Rattus norvegicus: one gene and its partners. The protein of the gene in region 4 interacts with the protein of the main gene of each other region in a pairwise test. Links are inferred from orthologs where the notes say so. Each region holds a gene or a part of one and is shown on either strand. Other genes may lie near its edges.

Evidence for each region.
Region 1: the proteins of Zmynd19 (region 4) and Tnfaip1 interact in binary tests that used the Homo sapiens proteins (3 or more experiments, as listed by UniProt). The two-hybrid records come from large-scale screens. The link is inferred for Rattus norvegicus from reciprocal best matches to the Homo sapiens genes ZMYND19 and TNFAIP1.
Region 2: the proteins of Zmynd19 (region 4) and Lzts2 interact in binary tests that used the Homo sapiens proteins (3 or more experiments, as listed by UniProt). The two-hybrid records come from large-scale screens. The link is inferred for Rattus norvegicus from reciprocal best matches to the Homo sapiens genes ZMYND19 and LZTS2.
Region 3: the proteins of Zmynd19 (region 4) and Nab2 interact in binary tests that used the Homo sapiens proteins (3 or more experiments, as listed by UniProt). The two-hybrid records come from large-scale screens. The link is inferred for Rattus norvegicus from reciprocal best matches to the Homo sapiens genes ZMYND19 and NAB2.
Region 5: the proteins of Zmynd19 (region 4) and Kctd13 interact in binary tests that used the Homo sapiens proteins (3 or more experiments, as listed by UniProt). The two-hybrid records come from large-scale screens. The link is inferred for Rattus norvegicus from reciprocal best matches to the Homo sapiens genes ZMYND19 and KCTD13.
Region 6: the proteins of Zmynd19 (region 4) and Tox4 interact in binary tests that used the Homo sapiens proteins (3 or more experiments, as listed by UniProt). The two-hybrid records come from large-scale screens. The link is inferred for Rattus norvegicus from reciprocal best matches to the Homo sapiens genes ZMYND19 and TOX4.
Region 7: the proteins of Zmynd19 (region 4) and Enox1 interact in binary tests that used the Homo sapiens proteins (3 or more experiments, as listed by UniProt). The two-hybrid records come from large-scale screens. The link is inferred for Rattus norvegicus from reciprocal best matches to the Homo sapiens genes ZMYND19 and ENOX1.

The regions. Positions count from the first base shown.
Region 1 is NC_086028.1:63,920,492-63,924,058, forward strand, and holds part of Tnfaip1 (BTB/POZ domain-containing adapter for CUL3-mediated RhoA degradation protein 2), read right to left. Parts: 5' UTR 3,469-3,567; coding exon 3,264-3,468; intron 1,977-3,263; coding exon 1,807-1,976; intron 1,426-1,806; coding exon 1,336-1,425; intron 1,257-1,335; coding exon 1,204-1,256; intron 451-1,203; coding exon 255-450; intron 1-254. UniProt on the Homo sapiens protein: Substrate-specific adapter of a BCR (BTB-CUL3-RBX1) E3 ubiquitin-protein ligase complex involved in regulation of cytoskeleton structure.
Region 2 is NC_086019.1:253,830,890-253,834,905, reverse strand, and holds the start of Lzts2 (leucine zipper putative tumor suppressor 2), read right to left. Parts: upstream 2,808-4,016; 5' UTR 2,766-2,807; coding exon 2,358-2,765; intron 810-2,357; coding exon 147-809; intron 1-146. UniProt on the Homo sapiens protein: Negative regulator of katanin-mediated microtubule severing and release from the centrosome. Required for central spindle formation and the completion of cytokinesis.
Region 3 is NC_086025.1:65,386,416-65,390,488, forward strand, and holds the start of Nab2 (NGFI-A-binding protein 2), read right to left. Parts: upstream 2,841-4,073; 5' UTR 2,631-2,840; coding exon 2,548-2,630; intron 1,492-2,547; coding exon 618-1,491; intron 258-617; coding exon 124-257; intron 1-123. UniProt on the Homo sapiens protein: Acts as a transcriptional repressor for zinc finger transcription factors EGR1 and EGR2. Isoform 2 lacks repression ability.
Region 4 is NC_086021.1:28,159,248-28,162,814, forward strand, and holds part of Zmynd19 (zinc finger MYND domain-containing protein 19), read left to right. Parts: intron 1-179; coding exon 180-320; intron 321-3,567. UniProt on the Homo sapiens protein: May be involved as a regulatory molecule in GPR24/MCH-R1 signaling.
Region 5 is NC_086019.1:190,963,629-190,967,875, reverse strand, and holds the start of Kctd13 (BTB/POZ domain-containing adapter for CUL3-mediated RhoA degradation protein 1), read right to left. Parts: upstream 2,804-4,247; 5' UTR 2,627-2,803; coding exon 2,383-2,626; intron 1,051-2,382; coding exon 881-1,050; intron 1-880. UniProt on the Homo sapiens protein: Substrate-specific adapter of a BCR (BTB-CUL3-RBX1) E3 ubiquitin-protein ligase complex required for synaptic transmission.
Region 6 is NC_086033.1:27,461,206-27,465,571, reverse strand, and holds the start of Tox4 (TOX high mobility group box family member 4), read right to left. Parts: upstream 2,838-4,366; 5' UTR 2,782-2,837; coding exon 2,776-2,781; intron 2,612-2,775; coding exon 2,543-2,611; intron 1-2,542. Other genes in the region: Rab2b (ras-related protein Rab-2B), read left to right, coding at 3,189-3,234, 3,445-3,516. UniProt on the Homo sapiens protein: Transcription factor that modulates cell fate reprogramming from the somatic state to the pluripotent and neuronal fate. In liver, controls the expression of hormone-regulated gluconeogenic genes such as G6PC1 and PCK1.
Region 7 is NC_086033.1:58,926,187-58,930,553, forward strand, and holds the start of Enox1 (ecto-NOX disulfide-thiol exchanger 1), read left to right. Parts: upstream 1-1,553; 5' UTR 1,554-1,787; intron 1,788-4,367. UniProt on the Homo sapiens protein: Probably acts as a terminal oxidase of plasma electron transport from cytosolic NAD(P)H via hydroquinones to acceptors at the cell surface.

The DNA of each region.
Region 1 (3,567 bases), on a different chromosome or scaffold from region 4:
CAAATACCTGTCCTTCCACAGCACCAGAAAGTTCCTTGCTGCTCAGTGGGCTTCTTCCTCAGCAGCTGCTGACAGTTTCTGACCATCTTCAAAACACTCTGTCTGGACTCTGTCCTACCTGGCACCATCGTACCATATTTGGTAAAGTACGTGTGGCCCTTCTGTTGCTGTGGGCAGGGTACACTGGGGCAGTGCAGTTCTCCATTGTGGAGTCTGTGTGATCTGTGCCCTGGCAGAGTAACGCCCATACGTACCTTGGTCTGCTTCTTCTCTGTGGCATACACAATGGAGGTGCAGCACACTTCTGCCAGCTTACGACCCTGGCCATAGAAAGACCAGCAGCAGATCTCGTCACCGATGACGTCCTTGATGAAGAGCACGCGACCATTGAAGCGCAGGGACAGCTTGTCAAACAGTTCAATGTTTTTCAGTAGGTGATCATCAGAGTTGCTGAAAAAACCAGAAGGTCAGCAGGCCTAGAATGAGGTTCCAGCTCAAGGGTGCTGGCTGCTGGGAAGGGCTGGGCTCCCTGTTCCCTGCTCCTGTTGTGTTGAAATGAAGATAAGGCTGACAGACAGGGACTGGGGCCCGTGAGGGAAAGGGGTGGAGCTGGAGCTGGCCCTCAGTTACAGCAGAGAGCATTAAGGGAAAGAAGTGACCTCTCCTTAAGCCTGGAAGAAAGGGTCCCTCACTACGACTTCGGCAGTGCCATGGGGTGATGTATTGTCCATCAGGGACCAGGAGAGTCTAGAACCAAGCCCAGCCACCTGGATCTACCTAACCAGGGCACAGTGAGACGCACATGTGCCAAGAGGACTCAGCTCATACCTTCCTAGCATCCCTCTTTACTCTCTAAGATCCTGGCTAGCCATATGTATTATAAAGTTGGTCATGATCCATCTGGTACCTGAGACAATAGAGATGATAATTCCTGGCATGCTCTTGATATGACACAGGCATGTTTCACGTTTTAACATCTACATCCCAACCAGGCCATGTAATAAACCCCAAATGTCTCTACCCTGAGCTCCCTCGTATACCTGTTCATTCCCTTTCCAAAGGTGGTTTCAAACCCAGCCCCATGATGTGTGTTGGGGACCTGTGACATCCCTCAGGTCTGTTGTGCCGTGCCCACTGTGGGTGCTCAGCCCTGAAACTGCCTCTGCCACCCTTCGCAGGGCCCAGCAAAGGCGCCCGCCATACCTGGTGTACGAGTACTTGTTATTGCTCCTGTTGTACAGCAGCTTCACCACCGGCTGTGAGGGAAGGAAAAGTCGTAAGGGTCAGGCCAGGAGCCTGGTGTCCCCAGGCCAAGACCCTCAGGGTACCCAGTACCTTTGTGGAGGATTCAATGAGCCTGTCCTCCTCCCTCAGGGATGTGATGATGGGGATGTTGCACACAGGCTGGTAGGAGTCTTTCTTGTCCTGGGTGACACACAGAGCAGAGAGCTGCCTTTAGGACTTTGTGCTAGCCAAGCTTAGCCAGGTACATCCCAGGCCTCTGCCAGTCACCCCTGCCTGGTAAGGAGGTACCAGACAGTTCATGACGTTCTTGGAAATAGATACTGACATTCTCACTGTCAGAAATCTGAAGCTGCTATGTAGGCAAATGAATTAGAGGCACAGCTGGCTCGGGCTGCCAGGCATGAATCCCTAGCAGCTGGGCCTGGGCCTGGGCAGCTCCCCATTGTTCTGATTGGGTTTGCACTCATCAACCTCATTTCCAACACAGCTCCCCAGGAGCCAAGCCTCGTGTCCCCAGAAGGGCAACTCCCGCCCTCATCAAATCACCTGACACTCCCATACCTGCAGGGCGGCCTGGCACAAGCTCACCAGCCCTTGAATGAGGTAATATTTTGCTTCAGCCATCAATTCCTGGATTTCTTGCCGGCTTTGAGGGAGGGTGACGGTGTCATCTCGGAGGTAATTCAAGATGGTGCCAAAGTGCTTTCCACAACGGTCTATGAGGATCCAGCCTAGGGATTTAGAGGGGTCCCACAGGATTACTGTTTGTTTCCAGCTGTGTCAGCGCTGGCAAAGGCCACCTGAGAGAGGCAGGCAGGCAGCAGGATGCAAGGAAAGGAAGTGTGCGAGCAGAGTCCAGAGCCCAGGCCCAGTGGCTCAGAGACTCTAGGTCTCAGGACAGTGCTGCTCTTCCCTATTCTGAGTTCGGGAACTGCTATATTCAGGGCTCTGTGGAGGATTGGATGTCTAATGTCGGGGCTACTCGCGCCACTCTGGTGATACAGAAACAACCAGTCTCTACTTACCTTTTGGCCCCGCCCTGGTTCTATTTGGATATAAATACACCTATCAGCTTCGACACCGTTATTCCAGTTAGCCTCAAGTTTGAGCTTGACCGGTCTCAAACTCCAGAGTGCCGGGATTACAAGCAAGTGCCAGGATTCCAAGATTCAATTTTATTATTTATTTATTTACTTATTTATTAAGACAAGGTTTCATGTAGCCCAGGCTGGCTTCAGGTTCATTAAGCAGTGGAGGCTGGCCTCAAATTTCTGATACTCCTGTTCCCACCTCCACGTTCTAGGGTTACAGATGTAACCACAACCAACATGAGTATGATACATAAACATACAGCACTTTATGTACAATTTTAAGGAATTCTGAAGCTCTGTTAAGACTTGTATGGGGCTGGAGAGATGGCTCAGTGGTTAAGAGCACTGACTGCTCTTCCAGAGATCCTGAGTTCAATCCCCAGCAGCCACATGGTGGCTCACAACCATCTGTAATGAGATCTGATGCCCTCTTCTGGTGTGTCTGAAGACAGCTACAGTGTACTTATATATAATAAATAAATAAATCTTTAAAAAAAAAAACTTGTATGAAGTGAGGAGGAAAAGATAGATATCCTAGATCTCCTGGGCTCAAGCCCAACCTGGAGTCCTCCCAGCATGCCCCCTTCCTGCTCTCCCTTACCCAGCATGCCCCCTTCCTGCTCTCCCTTACCCAGCATGCCTCCTTCCTGCTCTCCCTTACCCAGCATGACTCCTTCCTGCCCTCCCTTATCCAGCATGGCCCCTTCCTGCCCTCCCTTACCCAGCATGCCCCCTTCCTGCCCTCCCTTACCCAGCATGCCCCCTTCCTGCCCTCCCTTACCCAGCATGCCCCCTTCCTGCCCTCCCTTATCCAGCATGCCCCCTTCCTGCCCTCCCTTATCCAGCATGCCCCCTTCCTGCCCTCCCTTACCCAGCATGCCCCCTTCCTGCCCTCCCTTACCCAGCATGCCCGATGCAATGCCTCACCTTCTTTGTCGGTCAGCACTTCCATCCGCCCACTGAACATGGCCTTGAGCATTGTGTCGTGCCGGGTGAGAGCCCGCACCGTGGTGTAGTGCAGGGAGCCCCCCACATTGAGCTGCACGTACTTGTTACCCAGCCCACCTCCTTTGAAGCCACTTATCTTGGGCTTGGCTCCTGAGGCTGGGCACAGACAGGTGTCCCCTGACATCTCCCGCTGCAGGTAGATTACCACACGGCAGGAGGTAGGCTTGGAAGGCTCTGCCGTGGTGGAAGTGGTCACAAATGAGTGTCCCGCAGAGGCCAGGGC
Region 2 (4,016 bases), on a different chromosome or scaffold from region 4:
ACCTTGCCTCCTCACTGCTTTGAAGGTTATGCTCATAGCCTTGGGGGTGTCACATCATGAGTCTTTACCCTCTTCCTCCCCAACAGGAATTGTCCCTAGGCCCTGGGTATTCAGCCACACCGCCCCAGGACTGCCACTGGCCGCACCTGACACACGGCGGCCTCACTCTCATCCACACTGTCCCGCAGCTGCTGCAGCTCTGCCTCTCGGTCTCGAAGCTTCCCTTCCAGGACACAGTGTAGCAAGGCCTCATCCGAAGGGGGTGGAGGTGGTGGAGGGGGTGGGGAGCGGTCTCCACCCGAACTGCTGCCAGGGGAGGCCCGGGCCCCACTGCCCAAGAGCCCCCCAGCTACACGAGCCCCCAAGGAACCTGTGCTTTTGCTGGAGGAGGACCGGCCACTGTCTGAATGGGAGGGCCCAGTAGGGACCCCTCGGGCTGGACCAGGCAGTGGCCCTCGGCCAGGGCCGTGGGAGGGCAGGTGCCCACCTGGGGAGTTGGCAGTTGGCTCGGCACCTCCGGTGCTGTAGGTGGGCAAGCTTGATAAAGAATTTCGGCCAGAGTCTGACAGTGTTCCTGAAGGGCAGCCACTGGCCCAACCGCTGAGTGCCAAGGGTTTGTCAGTAGCAGAGGAGGAAGAGGAAGAGGAGGAGGAAGAGGCTGGCCCCCCAAACAGCTGTGTCAGGCTGCCCTGGCTCCCAGATAGCCCAGCAGCTCGAGGACCAAGGAAGCCAGGTAGGGATGGCGCCCCTCGAGGTTTGGGTAGCACTGGCTTGAAGGCTGTTGGTCGGATCAGGATCTTCTCCATATTCTGAAATGAGGTAGCATGTGACACTGTGAGGATGATCTGCCCGACCCCTTTCTTTTTAAAAAATTTAGTATTGTTGTGAGACAGGGTTTTACTCTATTGGCCTGGGTCCACTCACTATGTATCCCCTTGAACACAAGCCCTTCAAGATTACAGGTGTGTGATACCAAGCCCACTTTGCTTACTTGATCTTTCAAAACACACACACACACACACACACACACACAGAGGGGGGTGCATATGTATGAGTATGGATACGTGGTGCCTATGTGTGAAGATCAAATGTCAAAGTGTCAAAGTTAGGAGCTTTCCTCAATCACTTCCCACCTAAGTTTTTACACAATCTCTGGACCTGGATTTCATCAATCCAGCTAGTCTTGACTGGCTAGCAAGCCCCAGGGATCTGCCTGTCTCTGCCTGACAAGTGCTGAGATTCCAGTCCTTTGCCACAACGGCCACCTTTTTATATGGGTACTGGATCTGAACTTAGGAACGTGTATGAGTACACTGTCACTGTCTTCAGACACACCAGAAGAGGGCATCGGATCCCATTACAGATGGTTGTGAGCTACCATGTGGTTGCTAGGATTTGAACTCAGGACCTCTGGAAGAGCAGTCAGTGCTCTTAACCTCTGAGCCATCTCTCTGGCCCACCTTGATCTTACAAAATCATCATACTACTTGGCTTTCCCATACAGGGTTCTCACCCCTATAAATGAAAAACAATGGTTCCCACCGTTTCTTTCTTTCTTTCTTTCTCTCTCTCTCTCTCTCTCTCTCTTTCTTTTTGGAGCTGGGGACCAAACCCAGGGCCTTGTGCTTGCTAGGCAAGTGCTCTACCACTGAGCTAAATCCCCAACCCCGGCGGCACCGTTTCTAAACGTCTACTTATGTTAAGTAATTCAAAATGCTTATTTTTAATCATGATAATAGCCACGCAAGCAAAACATTATCCTCCTCTCCTACTAAAAACAGGATAGAGTCAGTCCCAGAATAAAGGTAAACAAAGGCTTCGCCCAAACACACACACGCACGCGCACGCACACACACACACACACACACACACACACACACACACACACAACACCACACCATACCACACCACACACCTCTATAATAACTAAAGCAACTTGGCTGGAAGTGGTAACAAATGCCTTTAATCCCAGTACTTGGGAGGCAGAAGCAAGCAGATCTCTGTGAGTTCAAGGCCAGCCTGGTCTACATAGTGAGTTCCAAGACAGTCAAGCTACAGAGAAAAACCCTGTCTCAAACACCAAAAGAGAGAGAGAGAGAGAGAGAGAGAGAGAGAGAGAGAGAGAGAGAGAGAGAAACACGAACTACTATATTGTTCATTTGGGAGTATTAATTCTAACAGGAGCCTATAAAGATTATCCTCTAACCTTAACTGTAAAGACACAGAAAATGGGGCTCAGACAGGTTATCTCCCTGAGCCAGAAAGAGAGATAAGACAGAGTCCATGCCTCCAAATTCTAGCTTCCCCAGCGGGGAGCTCGACCCCACCCAGATCCTCCCAAGAGGGCTGCCCGTTACCTTCTCCAGCCTTCCAGAGACAGGGATGAGCTTTGGTGGGGGCCCACGGAGGTGGGCATTGTGTGCCTGATGTTCTCGGGGATCTTCGACATCACTGCTTGGGCTGGGAGGTGACTCTGTCCGGAAGTCCTCATTGACATAGGTAAAGCTGTTGCCTGGGACAGTCTTCCTGGGTGGCACAGCTGGGCAGAGTGGTTCCTGGGCCTCATAGCCACCCCGGAGCAGCCCATCCTGCTGGCGGAAGAAGGTAGGCCCAGGGACACCATGGTGGCGTTGAGGAGCAGGTCCCCCAGGACAGGGCCGGCCTGAGATAAGACTGCTCACGCTGCCCATTGCTGGAGTTTGTGGGGCAGTGGCTGTCTCACGTGCGGGCTCCAGTGGCACTGGCAGAGTGTGCACAATGGCCATGGTGGCAGAGGTTCAGGCCTGGCCAGGGGCCTCCAGGGCAACCTGCGAGCAAGGCATTGGCGTCAGAGTCCCTGCACCTTGAGGATCCTCCCCCTATTAGCCTTCTCCTGACCCCCTCTTCCAGATAGAACATTCCCCATATAGTGAAACAGCTTCACCTCCCAAGAACTGGCAATGAACCTCAAGTCCCTCTGGGCCTCAACTCTAGTCTGGAACAAGGATAAGGAACAACTCAACCAAACAGAGATGAAAGAATGGGAGAACTAAGAGGTTATGCAGGGTTCCTTGACAGAGGAGACCCAGTTAAGCCCAAACCTGTATCCCCTATATAGCGAAGTCTCAGATTGGGCAGAGATCCCTAACTACTAGCTCCCAGTACATGTCCCTACTCTCTTGGGACAGGTGGCCTCATTCCTGGGCTATTTGGGCAGAGGACAAGTCAGGGATACAATCAGTAACTCAGATGGTAATTAGGGAACAAAGAACCAAAGCCAGGCACTGTCCAGCCTCCCACTGCTAGGCCTCAGTTTCTCCCAGACACTCAGGCGGCGTTGAGGGTGGAGCTGGCCAAACAGGAAACCTCACAGGTCTTAGGAACCCACAGATGCCCTCTGGGGTCTCCTACTTCCCAGAGGTCGATATAGGCTGTGCTTGTTTCTATGTCAACTCTTAGCTTCTGCCATCACTTGGGACTAAGGTAGCCTACACAGGCCCTGTCCCACTGTCAACCTTTATAAACCTTCCTGCTTTAGTTGATCTTCGGAATAACTCCTATGGAATTTGAGCAGGAGCCCATTACCACATCTGGTAGGATCTCAAGGAAGATGGCTCCACCCCCACCCCCCATCCTCAGTCTTGCTCCTTCCTGGGAAGGATAGCAAGCCTGCACCCGGAACTCCCTCCCAGTCCCAAGGCTGCCGATGACCAAGACTTAGGCATCTGCTGAAGTCATCATGTAGCTCAGGGGCCAAGAAGTGGACAGAGGCCTCCATGAGAGAGTGTGTATGTGTACACTTGTGGTGTGAGTACATAGACAGGACCATAAAAATGAAGAGAATCTGTGAAAACGTACATGAAAATATGCAGTATGAGTTTAGGCAGATAGTTCGTGCACACACACACACACACACACACACACACACACACACACACGAGATGTAGGGGGACATGACAAAAACAAACAGGGTTGTGCCATGCACCACAAGTGGGCCTCAAACTCAGGGATCCTCTTGCCTCAGACAGCTGGGATTC
Region 3 (4,073 bases), on a different chromosome or scaffold from region 4:
TTGAGCTGGCAAGGGGAAGACACGCAGGTGGGTGGCAAACAGGCCTGGAGCTGCCTGAGTTGCAAGTTGGGAGAGCCAAGTCCTTGGCAGGATTCCAACCTTGGGGAAGGAAGGGGGTCTCACCTGGATCCCTTCAAGGAAGAAAGATAGGTGCTCTCTCGGGCTACTTGGCGGGACAGTGAGAAAAGTTCTACCCTTCGAAGTAAAAGGGTGTTGTCCCTCATGCAGAACTGGGCAGCAGCCTCATTGATGGTCAACTGTGGCAAGAGGACAATCAGTGTGAGTTCTTGGTTCTCCTACTGCTTTTCCCCTTCACCACCAAGGGAGGCCCATCCAAAGAATGCCTGCTTTAAATAATACCCAGGACTTAACTGCCTGAACTTAGAGACTGTCCCTCCCAAGGCCTCCTGTTCCTGGCATGTGAGCAGCACAGGGTTTCGTTGCCATTATTCTTCCCTTAGGTTGAGGGAAGTGAGGCAGCAGCTGGGGTTGGGTATGTGTGGGTGTGTGGAAGGAACTGGGGTGGTCAAGGGGACAGTGATACAGAGGTGGAGGATTCTGAGGCAAGTGAACTGAGCCCAGGAGTGAAGGGCAGTCCTGAAGACCCAGGTACTCACCTCGTGCAAGCTAAGCTGTTTGCCCTCACGCCGTTTGGAATCCAAGCGGCCATAGATGATGCTATATTTTCGGATCTCCTCTTCTTTCTGGCTGTCGTTATCATCCATCTCAAAGATGTGCCCCACACTCCGTGCCAGCTTCTTATTCAGCTTCAACAGGGATGTGATCTCTCCAGTGTCACCCCTGGGGAAACTCCGGAAGATCCTCTCCACACTCTCTACCACCATTCGCACCATCTCTGGTTCCAGGCGGTCTGGACCACCCCCTGTGCCACCTGCAGCCACCCCCCCAGCCCCAGTCCCCTCAGGGACTCCTCCCCCTGCAGGGGGGGAGAAAGGGGGAGACCCGGCCTCCTCTTCTCCTCCTGCTCCAACATCAGATTCTGGAGTGCTCTGGCCTGGCCAGATCCGGGGATCCCCTGCACCAGGTCCTCCAGGAAGTGGTGATAGCTTCTCTCCAAGTTCAAGGGGACTCTTGGGGCTAAAGCTTCGAGCACTGCCCGCCTTTTCTCCTGGGCTGCCATGCCCATTGCTCATGCTCCCTTTCCGGGTACCAGCTGTCTCAGAGATCTTGAAAAGTGGGATGCTGGAGACAGGCACAGCAGGCACTGGTTGGCTGAAGAGCCCTGGGTTGGTGGCCCATTCTCTCAGAGCCTTCTGTAGACGTCGGACATGGAGTGGTTTGGTGGCCATGCCCACAAGTGCCATGATTTCCAGGAACTCCTCCTCGCCCGCCTCACACAGCTGCTGTACATCATCCCCTCCCTGCTGGATGAAGGTCTCGTAGTAAGAAAGAAGGTTGGCACGCTGCAGGACCCGGTACAGCTGCAGCTCACCCAGTGTTCGAGGCAGTGCCATGGTTGAGGCACTTGCCCTGAGAAGGAAGGGCAGGAGACAGGCGGTGAGTACAAGTGTCCTGCTGGGTACCAACCAACCCACACTAACAGTTGTCCTCTTTCCTGCCCAGTGCCCAAGGTTGAGAATGGAGCATTGCTCAGTGGCACAAACATCCCATATTAAAGTTAACTTAGAATACTAGGGGCTACTGCTGGCCACTTCACTCCTTGCCCAGGTAGCTGGGAGGGAGGGGTGTGGCCTCTTCCTTGGCCTTTAGGGAACCTGGTAGACCCTTGCTCATGTCCTTAGGTTCCAGGGTTTAAAAGCACTCTTCCTAGAATCTGTCCGAACTTTCTAGGCTGCCCAGTACCCTTCCAGTTACCCCCTCTCCTTTGATTGGTCCTTCTCTTCTGGGAAAGGGGGAGGGAAGCCTTGATTGTTCTGCTCTGGGGCCGTTCTTCCCACACACTCCCACAGGAGCAGCGTCTGTAGGCGAAAACTGCCTGGGGGCTCCCGCCTACTCTCTTCTCCTTGTTTTCCATCCTTATCTTCAAAAGGGAGTGCGAGAGAGACTGAAGGCCTCTTGAGGAAGGGGCTGCATGCGGGGGCTACCCCTCCTCATTCAGTGAATGGTCATTTCATGACAAGGGAGGCCTGAAGCACACCCCCTTCAGGCCCACAGATGCTTAACTCAAAGGAACCACCTTCTCCCAGACCTAGGGGTGGTGCGCTGCCGGCTAATGACACACTAAGACAGCTAAGCTCCCCCACCCCTCACTGTTGACAGATCAAGCTCTGGAGCTCTCCCTGGCGCTGGGGGACAGTCTTTGTAGGGCCTCACGTACCAGGTTATGCCCACTGAGTAAACCTGGAATGGAAAATGAGGCAGTACTCTATCGTAACCAGGCTCATTGGGTCTTTGTTTGCTCCCAGGATCCCCCAATTCGAATACTCACCCCCCCTTTTCTATCAGTCTCCACCTCCCACCTCCCGATTCTCCACGTCCTCTTTTCGACCCCCACCCCCTAGACCCCCATTCGGGAGTCCAACTCCACCCATCTCCACTCCCTGCCACCTCCTTTTGCCCACTAACTTGACTCTGGGTTGTGGGGTCCGGCGGGTGTTATCCGCTCTGCCAGGTGGCTGCTCCGCTGTGGGAGAGGGCGCTCTGTGCATGGACGGCCAGAGATCACCCGTGCCTCCCGTCTCGGTGCCCGGCGCCTGCTGCGCGCTGCTCTTTGCCTGGAGCGCGCGCGGCCCGGGTCCACCGCTGTCCTGGCTCCGTCCCTCCCTCCACGTCTTCTCTCTCGGAGCCTCCGCGCCTCTGTCTGTGCCTCTGCCCCCACCTCCCCGGCTGAGCTTGCCGCCTCTCCGCGCCTCCTCCCCCGCAGGACGCACAGGGAGCGAGGCCCCGCGCTGCGCTGGCTGCCGGGCTGGCGGGAGGAGGGCGTGGGCAGAACCGGGGGCTGGGACCGGAGGCGGTGGGTGGGAGCCCAGGCCTGAGCCTCCGAGAGGCTGCTGCGGAGACTGAGAGGAGGAGACTTGGGGGAAGGTGGGGGGAAGGTGTGGAGCAGGAGGCGGAGGCGGGGACTCAAGAATCGGGCTCCGAGTTGGGGACTGAGGTGACCGAGGCCGAGCTATGGAGGGGGGAGCTTGGGGACCCAACGGGCGGGGCAGGTCGCTCCTTGCCGCCCACGCCGGATGCACAGCCGGCCCTCTCTGCGCCCACGTACCCACGTGAGCGCCCCGCCGGCTACATTCCTACTCCCTGCACCACTCCTACTCCTGTGAGCCGAGAGCGCAGTTTCACAACCACGCACAAGTATACAAAGACACGCGCACGTACGTGCACACGCGTCTAAACAACGACGCGGACGCCCGTTGGCCGCACTCTGGCCGCGCCATGCCGTTAGTTTGAATGTTAGAAGTGATGGGAAAAAAGTTGGAGAGGGGTCCGGGTGTTCGGTTCCTCCTGCTCCGCTCCCGGAGGATGTACCCTTAGGGTAAACTTGTTAGCGCGGGGCTGCGCAGGAATCCCTTCGGTGTTTCAACACCGTTCTCTGGCCTAAAGGTTGTAATATGAAGAGGCGGCTCTCAGAAACCCTGGTCGTAAGTTATACTAGAATCTACTACTTACATGAGCGTTGGTTAGGCACGTCGGGGTTTGGTAGGTAGGACAGGGATGGGGTTACCATGCTTTTTTATTTTCTGATGGTCAGGCCTTACTGCTTGGATTGGACGGCAAAGCCAGGAAAAGGTGGCTGCCTTCTCTGAGGTCATGAATTATTGGATCTCTCTGGACAGTGTAGTGGAAGCTTGGCAAGAGGCTAAGAGTAGTCTACGTGACTGCCCACCACGGAGGACCGCCTTCAAGGAGCCCAACCCCCTCGGTTTCTTCTAGCCCCATCTGGTTCCCATTACACGCCCACGGCTAGGAGGGTTGGGGGGGGTATTGGGCACGTGGGGGTTGTGTAGGCCTTTGGGGAGAGAGGGTGGGGGTGGAAAGCGTGGCGGACTGGCCAGAGGGAGGAAACGTCCCTCTAGTTAGAAACCTCGGCTCCGCCCCTTTGCTCCGCACTTGAGAGTGGCTTGCCCCAGCACGGCGTGGGTAGTGTGGGT
Region 4 (3,567 bases):
TCCAGGTGCAGAATCATTAACCAGCCTGTGTGGGCCATAGACTGATGACGTGCTTGGCTTTCTGGTATGCTACTTCAGGATAAGGGCCCAGTTCAGACCGTATGACTGATATTTCTGTGTTTGGACATTGATGCTTGAGGGTCTTGCCCTCAAGAAAAAAAAAAATCTGTCTTCCCTAGGGAACGACACAGGGGAGGTGTGGCTCCCGGGTTTCAGGTGGTACATCTCAATGCTGTGACTGTGGACAATCGCCTGGACAACCTGCAGCTTGTACCATGGGGCTGGCGACCCAAAGCTGAAGAGACCTCCAGCAAACAAAGGTGGGTCTTCCCTAGTCAGCACCTGTACTTGAAGGGTCATTACGTGTTTCTGTGTTACCTGTTTTGTGCTTTTACTATGAGTGCTGCAGGACTTTGATATATGACCCGTCACTGCCCGTGGGTGAGGACTTTGCTTTATGGGAAGAATTTTTCATTTATATTTTGTTTTGGAAACAGGGTCTCTCTATCCCTTGCTGTTTTGGGATTCGTTATGTATACCAGGTCTTGAAATCACAGCAGTCCTCCTTTGCCTCTCCTGTGCTAGGATTAAAGATGCATATATACCTCCATGCTTAGCTAATTTTTTAAAAGATTTATTTTATTTATGTGAGTACACTGTCACTGTCTTCAGACTCACCAGAGGGCATCATATCCCATTGTAGATGGGTGTGAGCCACCATGTGGTTGCTGGGAATTGAACTCAGGACCTCTGGAAGAGCAGTCAGTGCTCTTAACCGCTGAGCCATCTCACCAGCCCAAGAGATATTTTAAAAATGAAATTAAAAATGATTTTTCTTAAAGATTTATTTTATGTATATAAGTACACTGTAGCTGTCTTCAGACACACCAGAAGAGGGCATCAGATCTCATTAGAGATGGTTGTGAGCCACCATGTGGTTGCTGGGAATTGAACTCAGGACCTCTGGAAGAGCAGTCAGTGCTCTTAACCTCTGAGCCACCTCTCCAGCCCCATGCTTAGCTAATTTTTATGATTGATTTTTGGGATTGACTTTGTGATAATATACTGTAGGAATATTTTAGCTGGTGTGGTGGAATGAGAACATACCCAGAACTACAGAGTTCCCTGAGACAGGGTGGGCTTCAGTTCTGTTCCTTTGCTGAACAGCTTTCCCTGAGCATTTGAAGGAGAGGGACAAAGTAGCTTAGGAAGCTGACCTGTGTGGGGGCTTCTCAGTTCCCTGGTCCTGAAGATAGTGCTGAACACACTTTTGTATTCTGGAGGGCCATGTTCCTCCTAACCCTCCTCAACTCATCACAGGGAACTTCATGAAGCCCTGGAGAAGAGCTGGGGGAAATGGTTAGGGAAATTTGAACTCATAGTCCCAAGCCACACGGGCATCATTTACCTGCTTATAGGCCTCCCCTGAGGGCTCCTGGATTTTATGTTTGAGTTAAGTCTTTAAGAAGCCTTCTTTGGCATTTACCACTCCAACAGATGCTTGTATTATTAACAAGGTTGGCATTGTAGATAGCGGATAGATCTTTATAGCGAATGTCTTCAGGTGATGCCCAAGCCCCGTGTGCTGCGGATAGGACATGTGGCATACAGTTCTGAACTTGATGCTTAGTGTTGGTCTCCAGGTCCTCAGAAGACAGTTGCCAGGCTCCTTCACTCTGGCAGAGTGTGAAGGCAGCCCTGTGGGGGTCTCAGGCTTTGTTTTCTACCTGGTGTCAGAGGTTTTGAGTCTTCAGTTCTCTCACCACTCCTGTCTGTCTGTCCATCCTTCCCTACTTGCTTCCTTCCTTCCGTCCTACCCTGAGGTTCGTGTGTCTTAGGCTGGCCTCAACTTGTATAGTTAAGAAGCTGAGATTGACCTTTAACTTCCCATCCTCCTGTGAGGCAGACATCCTATTTAGTAGGGTCTGCTATATTTAATCTTCTGAACACACCTTATGATCATGAGATAGAACTACAGTTAAAGCCTCTTTTCAGAAAAGGGCAGTTACAGTTGTGGGGCTGGAAGGCTGAGGTGTGTGGTCAGGTGGTCCATTACCAGTTTCCTCAGCCACTTTTCAGAGATAAGTTTGGTTGTGGCCATGCCTTTCAGGTAGGTAGTAGTACATACCTCTTACTAGCAGAGGCAGGACCAGATTGGACCAGCATCCATGAGCATGTCTGGTATGCCCATGTAAAAGGAAGAAGAGGCGGGTTGGGGATTTAGCTCAGCGGTAGAGCGCTTGCCTAGCGAGCGCAAGGCCCTGGGTTCGGTCCCCAGCTCCGAAAAAAAAGAAGAAAGGAAAAAAAAGGAAGAAGAGGGAGAATGAATGTGTTTGTGTTAGGAGGGGAGTGCTTGGTACTGTGGGCACATGTGATCAGAAGAGGATGGCCAGTGTCCTGGTTTACTTGTGAGGGAGAGTGGGTTATTCATAAGGCTCAGTTAATTAAGCAGCTCCTGTATAGAAACCAGCCATGCCTCTCCAAAACCCCACACAATCTGCTGCACTCACCTGTGGGCAGTCAGCAGGTTATTAGGGCTGTCATGAGTAGGTTTCTTGCTGTTAATATAAAATACCATGACCAAAAGCAATGTCACAATCCATTGTTGAGAATTAAGAGCAGAAATTCAAGCAGGAAACTGGAAGCAGGAACTAAACCTTAGATCACTTGGCAGTACTGTTGTTTTGGTGTTCTCTCCATAGCTTGCTCGGTTTGCTTTCTTACACAAACCAGACCAAGTCGCCTAAGAGTAATACTGCCCACAGTGATTTGGTTCCTCCTATATTAATCCAGAAAATGCTCCACAGACATATCCTTAGGTCAGTCTGATGGTGGTAATTTCTCAGTTGAAGTTTAGTCTTTTTTTGGGGGGGGGGGGGTTCTTTTTTTCGGAGCTGGGGACCGAACCCAGGGCCTTGTGCTTGCTAGGCAAGCGCTCTACCACTGAGCTAAATCTCCAACCCCTAGTTTAGTCTTTCTAAGTGACTAGTTTTTGACAAGTTGACAAAAGCTAACCAGCACAATTGATCTTTGTTAAACACACACACACACACACACACACACACACACACACACACACACACATACACCACTTTAAGCCATACCCCATTTCTTATCTCCAGGATCTGATATTGTTATCACAGTATAAAACCTAAATTTCAACAGTATATATAAATAACTCAATGTTGAGCGTTTGAGACTTACTCATAATTTCTGTGCTATACAGGGTTTCGCAGCTCTGCCATACACAGCATACCACAACTTATCTTGTAGTCACATGCTAAGTCTGCTCCACTCATGCTTGCTACTTATCCCACAATCCTGACATTTCCAATTTGCTGGTATTTCCAACTGTGGTGTTGCCAAAACCCATTACTAAGTTTCACTGTCCAATTGAGATGCATGCCCCTTCTGGACCACAACTTTGTGCTAAATGAGAGAAAATATTTCCCATAAGGTTTCGCTTCAGTGATACTAGTCTTCTGTTAATCACAACTGAGTCTTCAGCCCCAGTGGGCCAGAACCCACAAATCTTAATTCAGATCTGTCACATGAGCACCTCCCAGT
Region 5 (4,247 bases), on a different chromosome or scaffold from region 4:
GAGAATGGAACTGACTGGTTCAAGAGTACTAGGCACCACAGAGCCGGCCTGGATTCCTAGAACCCACACAAGTATAGCAGCACAGGTGGGGAGGCCTGGGAAGCCCCAGCCTTGCTGATGGAGTATGGCTCTACTGTATAACACTTTATTCCAGAAGAGTCTCACTGTTTGAAAAAGCCCTAAAAATAAAAACCCCTGAGGGTTGGAAGATAGGCGTGGGCGTGTGTGTGTGTGTGTGTGTGTGTGTGTGTGTGTGCGCACACACACACACACACACACACACACACGTAATGTAATAAGAAATCGAAAACTTAAATTATATAAATTGAGATTCCCCTGCTGGCCTAGAGAGCTACTTAAGACTTCTGAGCAAGGAGAGAATAGACTGGGGTTCTGTGAGAATGTCATTCAGGGGAGAATGAACACGCTGAACAGGAACAGCTGCAAGCACAGACCAGGTAATTCTTTATGATTTTATATATATAAACATATCGTGTGTGTGTATGCTCTGTCTTCACACGCACCAGAAGAGGAAATCAGATTGAATTACAGATGGTTGTGAGTTACCATGTGGCTGTTGGGAATTGAACTCAGGACCTCTGGAAGATCAGCCAGTGCTTTAACTCCTGAGCCATGTCTTCAGCCCCCACCCCACCCCCAAGCAGGCATTTCTATTGACAATAGCCTGGACACCAGGTAGAACTGACCTTGCCTCAAGCAGCAGGCATGTTGCCGAGGACTATGCTCCCCCCAAATCCCAAAAGCCTAGGGGTCAAATCCAGTCTAAGTGAGGCTCTCTGGGCCATATCTCTCTTCTGTTGCAATAGCTATCTATTGGATAGGAGGACAGGGACCAAGAAGGTGAGGGGGGGACTCTCACCTGCAGCGCCAGCTGACAGTCTTCAATCAGGCCCTGTACCAGGTAGTATCGGGCTTCACCTAGCAGCTCCCCCAGTTCTCTGGTACTCTCAGGCAGTGGCACTGACCCGTCCCGCAGGTAGTTGAGAATTGTACCAAAGTGTCGGCCACTCCGGTCAATCAGCACCCAACCTGGTGGGGTGGGAAAAGGCAAAAGGAAAAATGGTTTGCTGGGGGCACTCGGGCTAATACATTCTTAGAAAACTGATGGCAAAGCCATAAGAAAACTTATATATGCCTGGTGGTCCACCCCTTAATCTCAGCAGTTAGGAGGCAGAGGCAAGTGGATCTCTGTGAGTTTAAGGCCAGCCTGGTCTACAGAGTGAGTTCCAAGACAGCCAAGGCTACAGGGAGAAATCCTGTGGGGGCAGGGAGGCAACAACAAAGATAAAAAACCCCTAATACTTATCTGTTTTATACCTCTACCATATCCAATGTTTCACACATCTCCAGTGTATCATACATACACCTGCCACAGAGCTCGCTCCCAAATCTGGTGGATGGTCAGAAGGCTCTCAGCACAGGGACGTAAAGTCAGGATCTCATTATGTAGCCCAGACTGAGCATGAGCACTATAGTATAGGCAGGTGCCACCAAGCCCAGCTTACCACGGAGAAATTCTCACCAAATTACCTTATGAACACATTTAACCCCTTGTATTAGTTTTAACCATCTCACCTAATGAAAATGTCCACTTTCAATCCTCTAATTCACAACGATAAAGTAGTAACAATATTACTTGGAATACCAAGAACTTACTCTGATTGCATGAAATTTTCTTGCTTACTGATCATCCCTACTCAATGCCCTCCCCAAACCCCCCCCGGGGGGGTGATCAGATCCCTTTACCAAACTTTCTCTAACACTAACTGATGCTTCACAATACTTATCAAATAAGTGGATTTTCATCTTCAGTACCTGAAAGCTGAACTTCACCTGCTAATTGTTTCCTTTCATCTTTGCTAAACCCTTCCCTTTAAAGCTATTCTATAATAAATGGGTTCCCAATTTAAAGGCAACACTCCTAAGGTTCACCTGTCAAGAGCTGCGCCCTTCACTCAGGTCCCTGACAAACCCAGAGCAGCCTTCTCTTTTCACATATATGCATTTATAGATGATTCCTAGAGAGTGCTGGCACTTGAGTTAGAGACAGATCAAATCTTTCAGTTCTCGAGGCTACCTGCTGGCGGTTCTACTGCAGAGAGGCAAACAAAAGGTTGGGCAGTGGGAAGTAAGTGGTAAAGGTGTTTGAAGGGTGCTGCTCGAGTAGGACTGGTTCCTTGGCTTTTAGAACTAAGGGAAGACCCGATAATCGGCAACTGAGCGCTTGGCAGATGTTACTGCTGGAAATAAAGGATTGGGCAAAGAGAGAGATTTTGAATTAGGAAAAGATTAAGATGGGACGAGGGAGTCGGGAATGAACTGGGGGCTGGAGGGCAGCACGTGTACCGGCGGCACGCATACCTCCCGCATCTGTGAGCACTTCCACGCGGCCGCTGAACATGGCCTTGAGCATGGTGTCCTGCCCCGTGAGGGTGCGCAGCGTGGTGTAGTGCAGCGAGCCGCCCACGTTCAGCTTCACATACTTGCTGTTCGGGGTCAGGGGCTTCAGACTGTACGAGGGGGAGCCAGGTTCGACACCTGAGGGGTTAGGGGACTCCAGGCATTCGGCCGCAGCCGCCGCCGGGCCAGAGGCCTCGGCCGACATGCCAGTGAGCGGACGCGGGTGACAGTCGAAGCTCTCTCCGCGCCCCGGACCCGCTCCCTGAGACCCCGCGACTCCTGCGCGGGCGCCCGACCGCTCGGCGCACACGCCCACTCGCCGCCGCTACTCTGCTACGTCCACCAGCCGCCCCATCGCGCGCTCTCTCCACCCGGAAGCTGGCGCGCGGAGCTGCGCAGGCGCGGCCAGGCTGGAGGCCGCGTCTTGGGGGCGGAGCCAAGAGCTGGGGCGTGCGCAGTCGGTGGCGCCGTTGCAGTCCAGCATGCGGTTTTGGGGTATGGTTCTCTGGGGAGAGTCAGGAACCTGGATGGAGAAAGCGTCTAAGGTCCCTTTGCCCCTTGTTTATGTGAACGGAGAGGACCGCAGCCTGTGACGGTTTCAGAAGCGTTTCATTCGCGTGAAAGGAAACAAGCTCAAAGGCTGGAGGTTGAGCATGGTTTCCCTAGCCCAACCCAGTGCACTTGACAGACTGTACGAAGAACAGTCAACAACAACAACAAAAAGAAAGTTCTCCAACGAAGCCTTAGGGTTTCCAGAGGACTCACAGGTTAGAAGGCCTAAGGGAGGAGATGATGAAAAGTAGCGCCTGTGTGGAGGTGGGATGCAGAGTTCCCTGTAGGGAGAAGGGTAGGGACCTGAGCCACATATAACTGATTTTAGCCCTGGAGGCTGAGGAAGGAAGATTATGGGTTCCAGGAGATCCTGGTCTACACAGTCTTAAGTATCTCAAAGCAAAAGGAGGGCCATTAGGCAGGAAGGTGGCCATTACAAGAATAAGACTGGACAAGCTAGGGAAGATCTTAGAATCCCAGCTGTCATGAGTCCTTCCATAGAACCCCCAAAAAGAAGAAAGAAGGTAGAGCACACTGTGAACAAAAGGTCTTTAGTTTTTAAATCACTTTAGAAGCTGATAGCTGAGATATTTAACAGCATGCCCTATTGTCTGGAAGGTTTTGCTTGGATGGAAAACCAAAGTCAACCTGGGCAATGGTGGCTCAGGAAGCAAAAGCAGGTGGCTCTTTGAGTTCAAGGTCAGCCCTAGTCTACATAGACTCTGTGTTGAAAAAATAAAAAGAAAAGGAGAAAAACTCCAAAGTCAGCATTTAAGTTTTAACCCCGTCACCAGCTAACTGGAAGACCTTGGCAAAGCTTCTCTTTCTGGGTCTGGTTGGTTCTTTTACTGCTTGATCAGGGGTGCAAATCTAGTGTTAGCTGTGGAGAGGTAGAGGTGTGGAGAAGCAAAGTGGACTTGTTAGAAGATATTAGAAGTGTGTCTAGTAATGAAGAGACTCTGCCAAAAGGAGTTGCCAGTCCTGCTTCCCCACAGCAAGTATGGCTGTGAAAAGGAAAAAGCAGTTCCTGACTGGAACTTGCACCCTCCTCCCTGAATCTTTGCTGTTGCCAGGAACTTGCCCAGCACCCATAATGAGGCTGCGGTGGTGTCTTGTTCAGCTCAGTTTCACAAAACACCAATTTCAGACAAATTCACACTCTGGCAGGTAAGAACCATAATCATAACCAAACACAAAATGACCAAATATAACCATCTCCTACAAATGTTAATTCTTTACCGCAGGAGGCATGGAGGGAGGGGCCTTTGCACTCA
Region 6 (4,366 bases), on a different chromosome or scaffold from region 4:
TGCTCCATAGGGGCATTTTCTTTCTGATAATATAAAAACAAAAACCAAACAAACTTGAAAAATGACTGTTCTTCAGAAAGAATTGCTTTAAAAGGATCATCTATTTTTTAACTTGTCTGTGATGGCTCAAAATAAGGCTGGAAACACAAAACCCATACATTCATTAGCATAGAGGTTAAAAGCCAGGCATGGCGGTATATATTTTAATCCCAGGACTCAGGAAGAGAGGCAAATGAAGGCCAGCCTAGTCACACAGCAAGTTTGCTGTCAGCCAAGTGAAACAATTCCCCCTAAACAAAACGAAAACAAAGTTTAAAAATTCACTGAGAGGCAGAAACAAGTAGGTGGACAAGTTGTAAGCAACAAGAACAGAGTCCAGGCCTAAAGGAGGCTACTGAAATGGAGCTTAAAACTCAGCTGCATGTCCTCTCTTCTCAACAGAAACGTCACAAGCCGTAACAAAACAAAACAAAGGGCAGGAACAAGCCTGGAAAATCCTTCCTTTTTCTGCCAGTGCTGGATCAAGGGTCCAGCACACAGTAGGCCAGTGCTTCTCTCCCTAGTCCCTGGATGTTAAAAGTGCCATCACTCACTTTCCTATTCCCTTCTCTGCCTTTATAAAAATAAATGATTTGTGCAACTTGTAAAAAAAAAAAAAAAAAGTGCCATCACTCATGGAGTTAGTCTTTGATCAACTTCAGACACAAGACTAGTAGGAAAAATTGGAAAGCTGTGTTCACTTTTTTTCCCTTTTCGGAGACATGGTCTCTCTATGTAATTCTGGAACTTAAAGAGATACACACATGCTTCTGCCTCCCGAATGCTGGGATTACAATTATGGATGTGTAACACTACACCCAGCCTTGTATTTACTTTTAAAATGTACTTTCCTATAAATAAGGACAGTGTGACTTACAGCACTCCAAACAATGAAATTAGACCATAGAAGACCTCTTGGAAGGAACTCGAAATAAAATCACCAAGTGCAAGACTCAGTTTCTTTTCTAACTTTGCCATTCATTTGTGCCATCCCTTTGTTTAGGAAAATATTCAATAATAATAAGTTGAAAAAATAAACCAGCAGCCAGGAGAGCACACCTTTAATCCCAGAAAAGAGTTCTGTTTTGAATGGGAAGAATTCTTTACTGGAAAGGCAGAAGCAGGAGGATTTCTTTGAGTTTGAGGTCAGCCTGGCCTATATAGTGAGTTTCAGGACAGCCAGAGCTATGTAAGACTGTCTTTTATAAAAAAAAAAAAAAAAAAAAAAAAAACAACAACAACAAAAACAACCCAAAAGCAAACTAGCAATTACTTACTGTCAATCATCTCTCAACCATAGGATAAACCTACACAAAGGCAATGGACAACTACTTTTGGTGCAAAAAAACATACAAATGAATTCACAGCACTTTGGGGGGGGTAGTATATAATCCTCAAAAGAAGGACCCTGGCTCAAGTTCTCAAAAAATGGGAAAATTTCATACACTGCACCTTTTTTTTTTTTTTTCCCCAGAGCTGGGGACCGAACCCAGGGCCTTGTGCTTGCTAGGCAAGCGCTCTACCACTGAGCTAAATCCCCAACCCCACACTGCACCTTTTATACACTTTCATACACTGCTTGCCCAAATAAGTGTTATTATGCTTATAGTAGGAGAATCTGTCAACCAAAAGTTTTTCAGAATATCTTAGAGAAGTGGCTCTCAACGTTCCTAATGCTGCATGGACCCTTTACCACAGTTCTTCATGCTGTGGTGACCCCCAACCATAAAATTATTGTCGTTGCTATTTCATAACCATAAGTTTGCTACTATTATGAATCATAAAGTAAGCATGTTTTCCCATGGTCTTAGGCGACCCTTGTTGAAGGCCTTAGAACCTCTGACAACCATTATTTTCTACTTTACACCATCTTTAAAAAGCAAAACAAAACAAACAAACCCTCTTATTATGGTCATTTGACAACTGTAATCCAAAGGGGGAAGTAATCAGTTTGTGAAGAGAAACAGGAAACTGGGAAACAAGTGCTCTCTACTCCTTTTATGTTCTCTAGCAGCTATCTCTTTCCCTCGGTCCTTCCATAGCAAAGCAAACAGAAGCCACGTCAGTTAAGGTTAACCACTTCGATCAGAGAAGACCTTTCAAATGAAAGAGACCAACATAGAGTTCAAGAATTAACAACTGTCCGAGGTTAATCCCTGCTAGATAAACTACTTTCTATATCTTGATTTCTTTACTGAAAAAAATTTTTTTTCTTGCTGTCTCCCAAGACTGTTAATTATTTCACCCCAACCAAAGAACAATTCCATTCGTTCTTTCTACTCGGAACAGAGAAACTCTTTAAGGAAATAGGCTGTTTTTTCAACATCCTGGTTTTCTGATGACAGCCGCTTTCCGTTCTTCCCCCGTCCACAGTCCTTAGAGGTGCTCGAAGCCTCGGACACTGTCCCCCTTCAGCTCCCGCCAGCCCCCGCGCTCACCTCACCGTCCACCCCAACCGCTGCCTAGGCCCTCCGGCGCCCCAGCATCAGCAGCTTTTGCTCACCTCGGCCCCTGACAGGAAAGGGTGCGAGGGCCCAGTGATCGTCAGGTAATTGTCATTTCCTCCGGGAAACTGTAAACCAAAAGAAAGCCGCGGGGATAAGTGAGCGGAGTAGGGGCGTGCTGAGACTCCAGTCCTCCCAGCACTCCCGAGCCCCCCTCGCTCCTCAGCATTCTCGCTTCTGCTTCCACCAGTCGGCCACGAACCCTCATTAACCCTCCAGACTTAGCCCCTACCTCCATCTTCACAACACCACCACCAGCGTCTCAGCGACTCCGCGTCCGCATCGCTCCCACCGCCCCCACTAAGTTCCGAGAGCGTCACTTCCTCAAGGAGTAGCGTCGCTCTCCGGTGATTGGACCGAGTCAAGGGACGCAACCAGTCGCTAGCCGAGCTGCCCGAAGGTCGCTGTCGCCCCCTGGAGCTTGGTGGGATAATGGCATGTAGAAGAGCATGGGGCGGCCCTAGAGGCGGTGTCCTGGATTCGGGATCCGGCGAAGATTTCTGGGGAGAGCAATAGAGACGCAGCTTGAGCTAGAAGGGCTGGAGTGGAGGCAAATAAGGAGATCCGTAGATTGAGCGGCTAGAGAGGTCGGAGGTAAGTGGCTGTGGAAATCGGGAGGACCCGGAACACCGACACCTCGGGACCATGACTTACGCTTATCTCTTCAAGTACATCATCATCGGAGACACAGGTAACCCGCCAACGGACCGCCTTCGGGGCTGGGGCGGGGATCCTACCTCCAAAATCGGCTTGCGGGCGGGGCGGGGCGAGCGGAGTTGAGTGGAGGGGGCGGGGCGAGCTCCGGGGGCGGGGCTCTGCCCCTCCCTTAGACCCTGTGCCCCTCCTGGGAGCTTGCGGCTTCCTGGGTGACCTGCATCTAATGCACACCGTTATTTTTCAGGTGTGGGGAAGTCATGTCTCCTCCTTCAGTTTACCGACAAGCGGTTCCAGCCTGTGCACGACCTCACAATAGGTAAGCTTATCTCCTGGTCCCAGAACAGATAAAAGCTAGCTCGCAGAACTGCGAAAGGAGAAAGCTAACAGTCTCGGTATTCTAAATAAAAAGTTAACTTCTCGCTACCTTTGTCTGAAGTCATGGTATATGAAAAACGATAAAAGCTGGTAAGTGGAGAGTAAATGATTGAAAGGTAACTTTAGAGATGGGTGTAAGATACATACTAGTCGTAGGGTTTTTTTCTTCAAATGCAACTTGAATGCTTATGGAAAAATTCCACAGAAACATGCTTATTAAACTCATCCGTAGTTTGTGGTTAACTACCAGCCTCACATGCTTTTCAAAGGAAACACCGACCGATCCTTTTAGGACTGGAGAGGTAAAAGCCAATGTAAGGATCTTTCCAGTTCTTCCTCCACCTCTACCTCCTTTTTCCTCCACCTTTTCTTCTTTTGGAGGCAAATTCTGGCTATTTAGTTCATACTAGCCTCAGATTCACTATATAACCCACACCCGGCACGAACTCCCAGAAATCCTCCTGCGTTAGCCTCCAAGCACTGTGATTACAGGCATGTACCATCTCATGGGCTTTCTTAAGTTTATTTTTGTCCCGAGACTGGCTTTGAACTCCATGGGTAATCTGACAATGACTTTAAATAAGTCTTGATCTTCCTACCCCTACATCTTAAATGCTGGGATTAGATATGAAGCACTGTGCTCAGCCTGTTTTTTTTAGTTTCTTTCTTTTTTTTTTTTTTCTTTTTCTTCTTTTTCCCTTTTCTTTTTTTCGGAGCTAGGGACCGAACCCAGGGCCTTGCAAGCGCTCTACCACTGAGCTAAATCCCCAACCCCGTTTTTTTAGTTTCTT
Region 7 (4,367 bases), on a different chromosome or scaffold from region 4:
CTTGATTGAAGGAATCGATCCTGCAGTAGCAGCAGAATTAGCAATCCCCAGTGACCTTGTAAAGTATGTACGGGCCAGTGTTTAGCACCTGGTGTTCCTGACAAGAAAAAAGCTGGCTTCTGACCAGCTTCTAGAGACAGACAATCACTTACCATCTCCTTTCCTATCCTTTACTGCAGAAGAGAGTGTGCAAACTGCTAAGTACCTGTGACTCGGTGACTCGGTGACTTGGACATTTTTTGAGAGGTTAGGTGTCCGCAGGAACACAGCACCAAGTTCCTGAGTACTCTTAGCATGAATCTTTTGGTAAATTTGCACAATGGGCCAGTATCCTCTTATTTTCTTTCTTTGCACTGGGGCCCAGGCAGCCAGAGGGGAAAATAGCTGTTCACACAGGGAACTGGCCTAAGTTTAAATCAAGCAAGCCTAGTGGGATGGTAATGACATTTCCAACATCCACGGGTTCTGCCTTCAGGATATGTGAAGCTAGAAAACAATGTCATTCATTCAACATTTATAGAGAGTACACAATGTACAGTGGCACCGTGCAAGTACTGTAGGGCAGGCAAAAAAGTGCAAAACCTAACCCCCTCATGAGGGTTCCTGCCAGGAAGAGCATGTCAACTGTAACACAGACCTTGCACTTTTGGGAAGAATTCTTGGGTGAATAAAGTCTGCTTACTTAAGATAAGCATGGAAAAATATACCAACAGCTCCATGTACCTTTTAGGAATAGGACAGGTAAGTGGGGATTTAACCATATTTTCTAAGGTGTTAGTGCGCTAGGAGATTAAGGTGTTCTCAGCTTACTTTGCATTACTTGTATATCTGGACAGTTGGTAGAATCTTAACGAAGAGAAGGCCAGCACTTCTATGTGAAAGTGGTTAACTTTGAGGGAAAGTGGCTTCCAAGGAAAACAAAAAGGTAACATTTTCATCTAACTTGATCCCAACCACCACTGAGGTACACCCTCTGTGCCCAGGTTCAACCTTAGCGCCAGGTTGAGCAGTGCACCTCAGTATCCTGGAGTCTACTGCAAGTACATAGTTCCCTGCATCCTGGGTCGCCAGCCTGGCGCCTTCAAGGTCGCCATGGTAACCATGGGGTACCAAGACCAGTCCCAGAACGTCCAGCCTAGAAATCCAAACTGGCAGCGGTGGCACGAGCGAGTCACCTCAGCTCCTCCCCCGAGGGGATTGCGCGATCCTCTGCCTTGGGCGCTACTTGTGTAGCATCAGTGGCCGAGCGCTCCGCGGGCCCCAGACCGGCCGGGATCCTGAGCACGAGCGCGCCACGCTGCCTTCTCTTATGGTTTCTCTGCGGGGCCCGCAGCTCCTCCAGGCCAGACAGGCGGCCCATCCTTCCTAGGCTTTACGGATTTCCGGGGGCGACGAATTTTGCCTCGGTCCCTACGAGCATCTCCCGCTTCGCTCCCCCGCCCCTCGCGACTCCCCCCACCCCTGGGCGCGCGCGCGCACACTCACTCACACTCGCAGGCGCGCGTGCGCACGCCCGCGCGCCCCGAGCCGCGGAGTCTCCAGCGCCCCTGAGCAGATCCCACTCTCCCGGGCGCTGCTACTCACACAGGCTTCTAGCCGCCACGGGGCGTCCTCTGTCTGCGGCAGCGGTGGCGGCGCGAGCGGAGGCTGCAGTCTAGCCCGGTCTGGCTGCTCTGCGCCCTGGACAGAGTCCGGCAGAAGCGGGATCGAGAGGAGAAGCCGAGGCGAGGAGGAGCCGCGCCGCGCCCGGCGCTCGCTTGCCTCGAATCCCCGCACCGCGGCCCCAGGTAAGCGGCTCCGCGGCCCGCAGCATCCCCGGGGCGTAGGGACTCGCCGCCTAGGAGGGGTTCCCGGTCCCGCCCCCGAGGCGGCCGGGGAACAAGGGACCTAGGGGAGTGGGCGAGGGGGGAGGGGAGCGGAGCTGGAGGTAAGACTGGAAGGCGGCGGTGTGGGGGAGCCCCCTGCGCCCTTCCCCGACGCTCCCCGGGCTCCCGCACTTTTACGAGCCGGGGGTGCCCGGCGCCCCACACAGATGTTCTCCGTTCTTTTTATCGCTGGCCGGCCAGTGTCTGCTCGGGCTCCGCGCCTACCACGCACCAACCGCCTCCCCTGCACCTTGGACAGCGCATCCCGCCTCTCGCCTTCCAGGGACCGCACCCGGGACCCTGCCCTGCCCGCGCAGCCCTCGGGTTGTTCCCGTCTTTCCACACTGTCCTCCTCCTGTCTTGCATAGCATCTCCCCGCCTTGGCGTTCTCCACTCTGGCGCGGGCCAGAAACTTTCCTCTCTGCCCGATCTGCGCGAGGTACTATTGTTGTTATTTGTGTCTTTCCCTCTCTGCTGGAACTGGACACAAGGACAGGTCTTCCTCTGCGGGCCATTGCCTGCCTTGCCCAGTCCAAGACCGCACTGGGCAGCGGAACTTGGACACCCGACCGGCGCCTCGGCAGCTGGACGCCCGCGGGTTCCCCGCCTTTCTGGACACGTGCACTCCTCCCACGGACCCGGCCCCTCCCGGACCACCCTATGTCCTCCCCCTGCATGGCCACTGCCACCCCATAGGTTGGACACCCGGGATCGCGGGCTCTGATTGGCTGATCATATAACCCCGCCTCCTTGGAGGGGGTGGTTCTGGAGTGTTGTGGTTGTCATCCCGCAGCGAGCACATGGGGGAAGTGGGGTCGACAGGTGGGGAAGCCCAGCTCTGTGGCATAGGCATCCCCATGTATGTAACTGTAGTTCCTTCAGCCTGCACCTTTCGCTTTACTCCCTCTCCTGCAGTCTCCCACTGTTATAACATTAAAATATTTTAAATTTTGTTGAGATTATGTTGTTCAGTGGTAGCGATTTTTAAAAGTAGCTTTAGGAGAATGCCGGAAACGAATGCACAAGAGATTCATGACAAACTGGGCTGCAGATTTGAGTTTGGTTCTTTGGGGGAAGTAATGAAGAGTCATTAAGGGATATGAAGAAGGTGGAGAAAGGAGAAAGGAAATGGATTGATGGCAGAGACGGTTGCTGGTTGCTTATGAACCCAAAGAAGGAAGTGGTGGGTCTTTTGTAGGTTGCGACGTGAAAAAGTCCCTGGGAGCTCTAGTGGGAGGCAGCTGCATTCTGCGGAAGACTGCTCTCTGGAAAAGTAGTAATTTTGTCTACTACTCAGGTCGTGATTAACACACTTTGCTTTTGTTTTGCTAGCGTTGCACTCTTGATAGTAGACTTATAGTAATAATGTCCGCGCACGTAATGGATATTGATTATTCTGCTTTCTTGTAATATGCAGATTTGCTAATGGTAATGAATTTTATCCCTCTAGAGGGAAGCATTAGTTAAAGTGCTTTTGAAATATGGTGAGACAAGACGGATGGGCACTGTGTAAAATCTAGAGACTGTCCTGACATTGTGCAGTGCCATTCCAGAAATCTGTACAAATGACTTTTATTTCTCTTCATTTCAAAGCCTGATTGCCTCTGGCATTTTCGAGCCCTAATTCCTACAGGCTGTTTTGATGTTGTGTCTGAACATCTTAAGAATATTGTAATTCTCATCTTTGTAACCTTGTCAATGCAAAGCAAGCGGCAAGGGATGGAGGGTAATGTTGACAGTTTTATAGTGAGTACACCGTGTGTCATTTCATCTGTAAGCTGGTGAAATATGCAAAAGGAACATGGCAGGGCTGTAATTATCCAGGGACCCAGATCCTAACCAAATGAGAGTCATGCGAGGCTATTCCAGGGAGAGCAATTCAATTATGTTTAAGACGAAAAAAATTTTAAGATTCCTATGTGTAAAGGGTACCACTAGTTGAATGGTCTTTGAACACATTGGTAGCACATGTTAAGTAAAATGGCTCCTTTAATATGTGAGATGATTCAAAGAAGCTGACAAAGCTTCCCAGTTTTTCCATTATATAAATAGGAAGAAGAGCCTTGCTCTCTGGAAGGCTTCACAATCAAGGGACAGGGTTTGACGCATCTGATACATCTGAAGTCATTGCCGTTGCTGAGAAAATGATTCTGACTGTGTTTTTATTTCTCTAGTTCATGCTCTGATTTTCTCACATGGCTTTAGATGCTGGTTGCAGGCCGACGAAATTTATATGTGTGTAGACTGGAAAAGAATGTGTGTGATAGCACAAACATATATGAGTATTGCAAAATAAATATTTATGTTTGCACGCAGTTATAAACTGATACATATAATTTTAGGGTACAGGCAATGCATTTATTCATATATACATTATTGTCGGCCTCAGAAATTTTGCTCATCTCTTCTTGTCCAAAAGGTGGCCCTGTTTTAAACTGTAAAAACATTATCAGCAGTAGAATTGGCCAATAGATCACAGAAACAGACAATAGTATTTTGTTG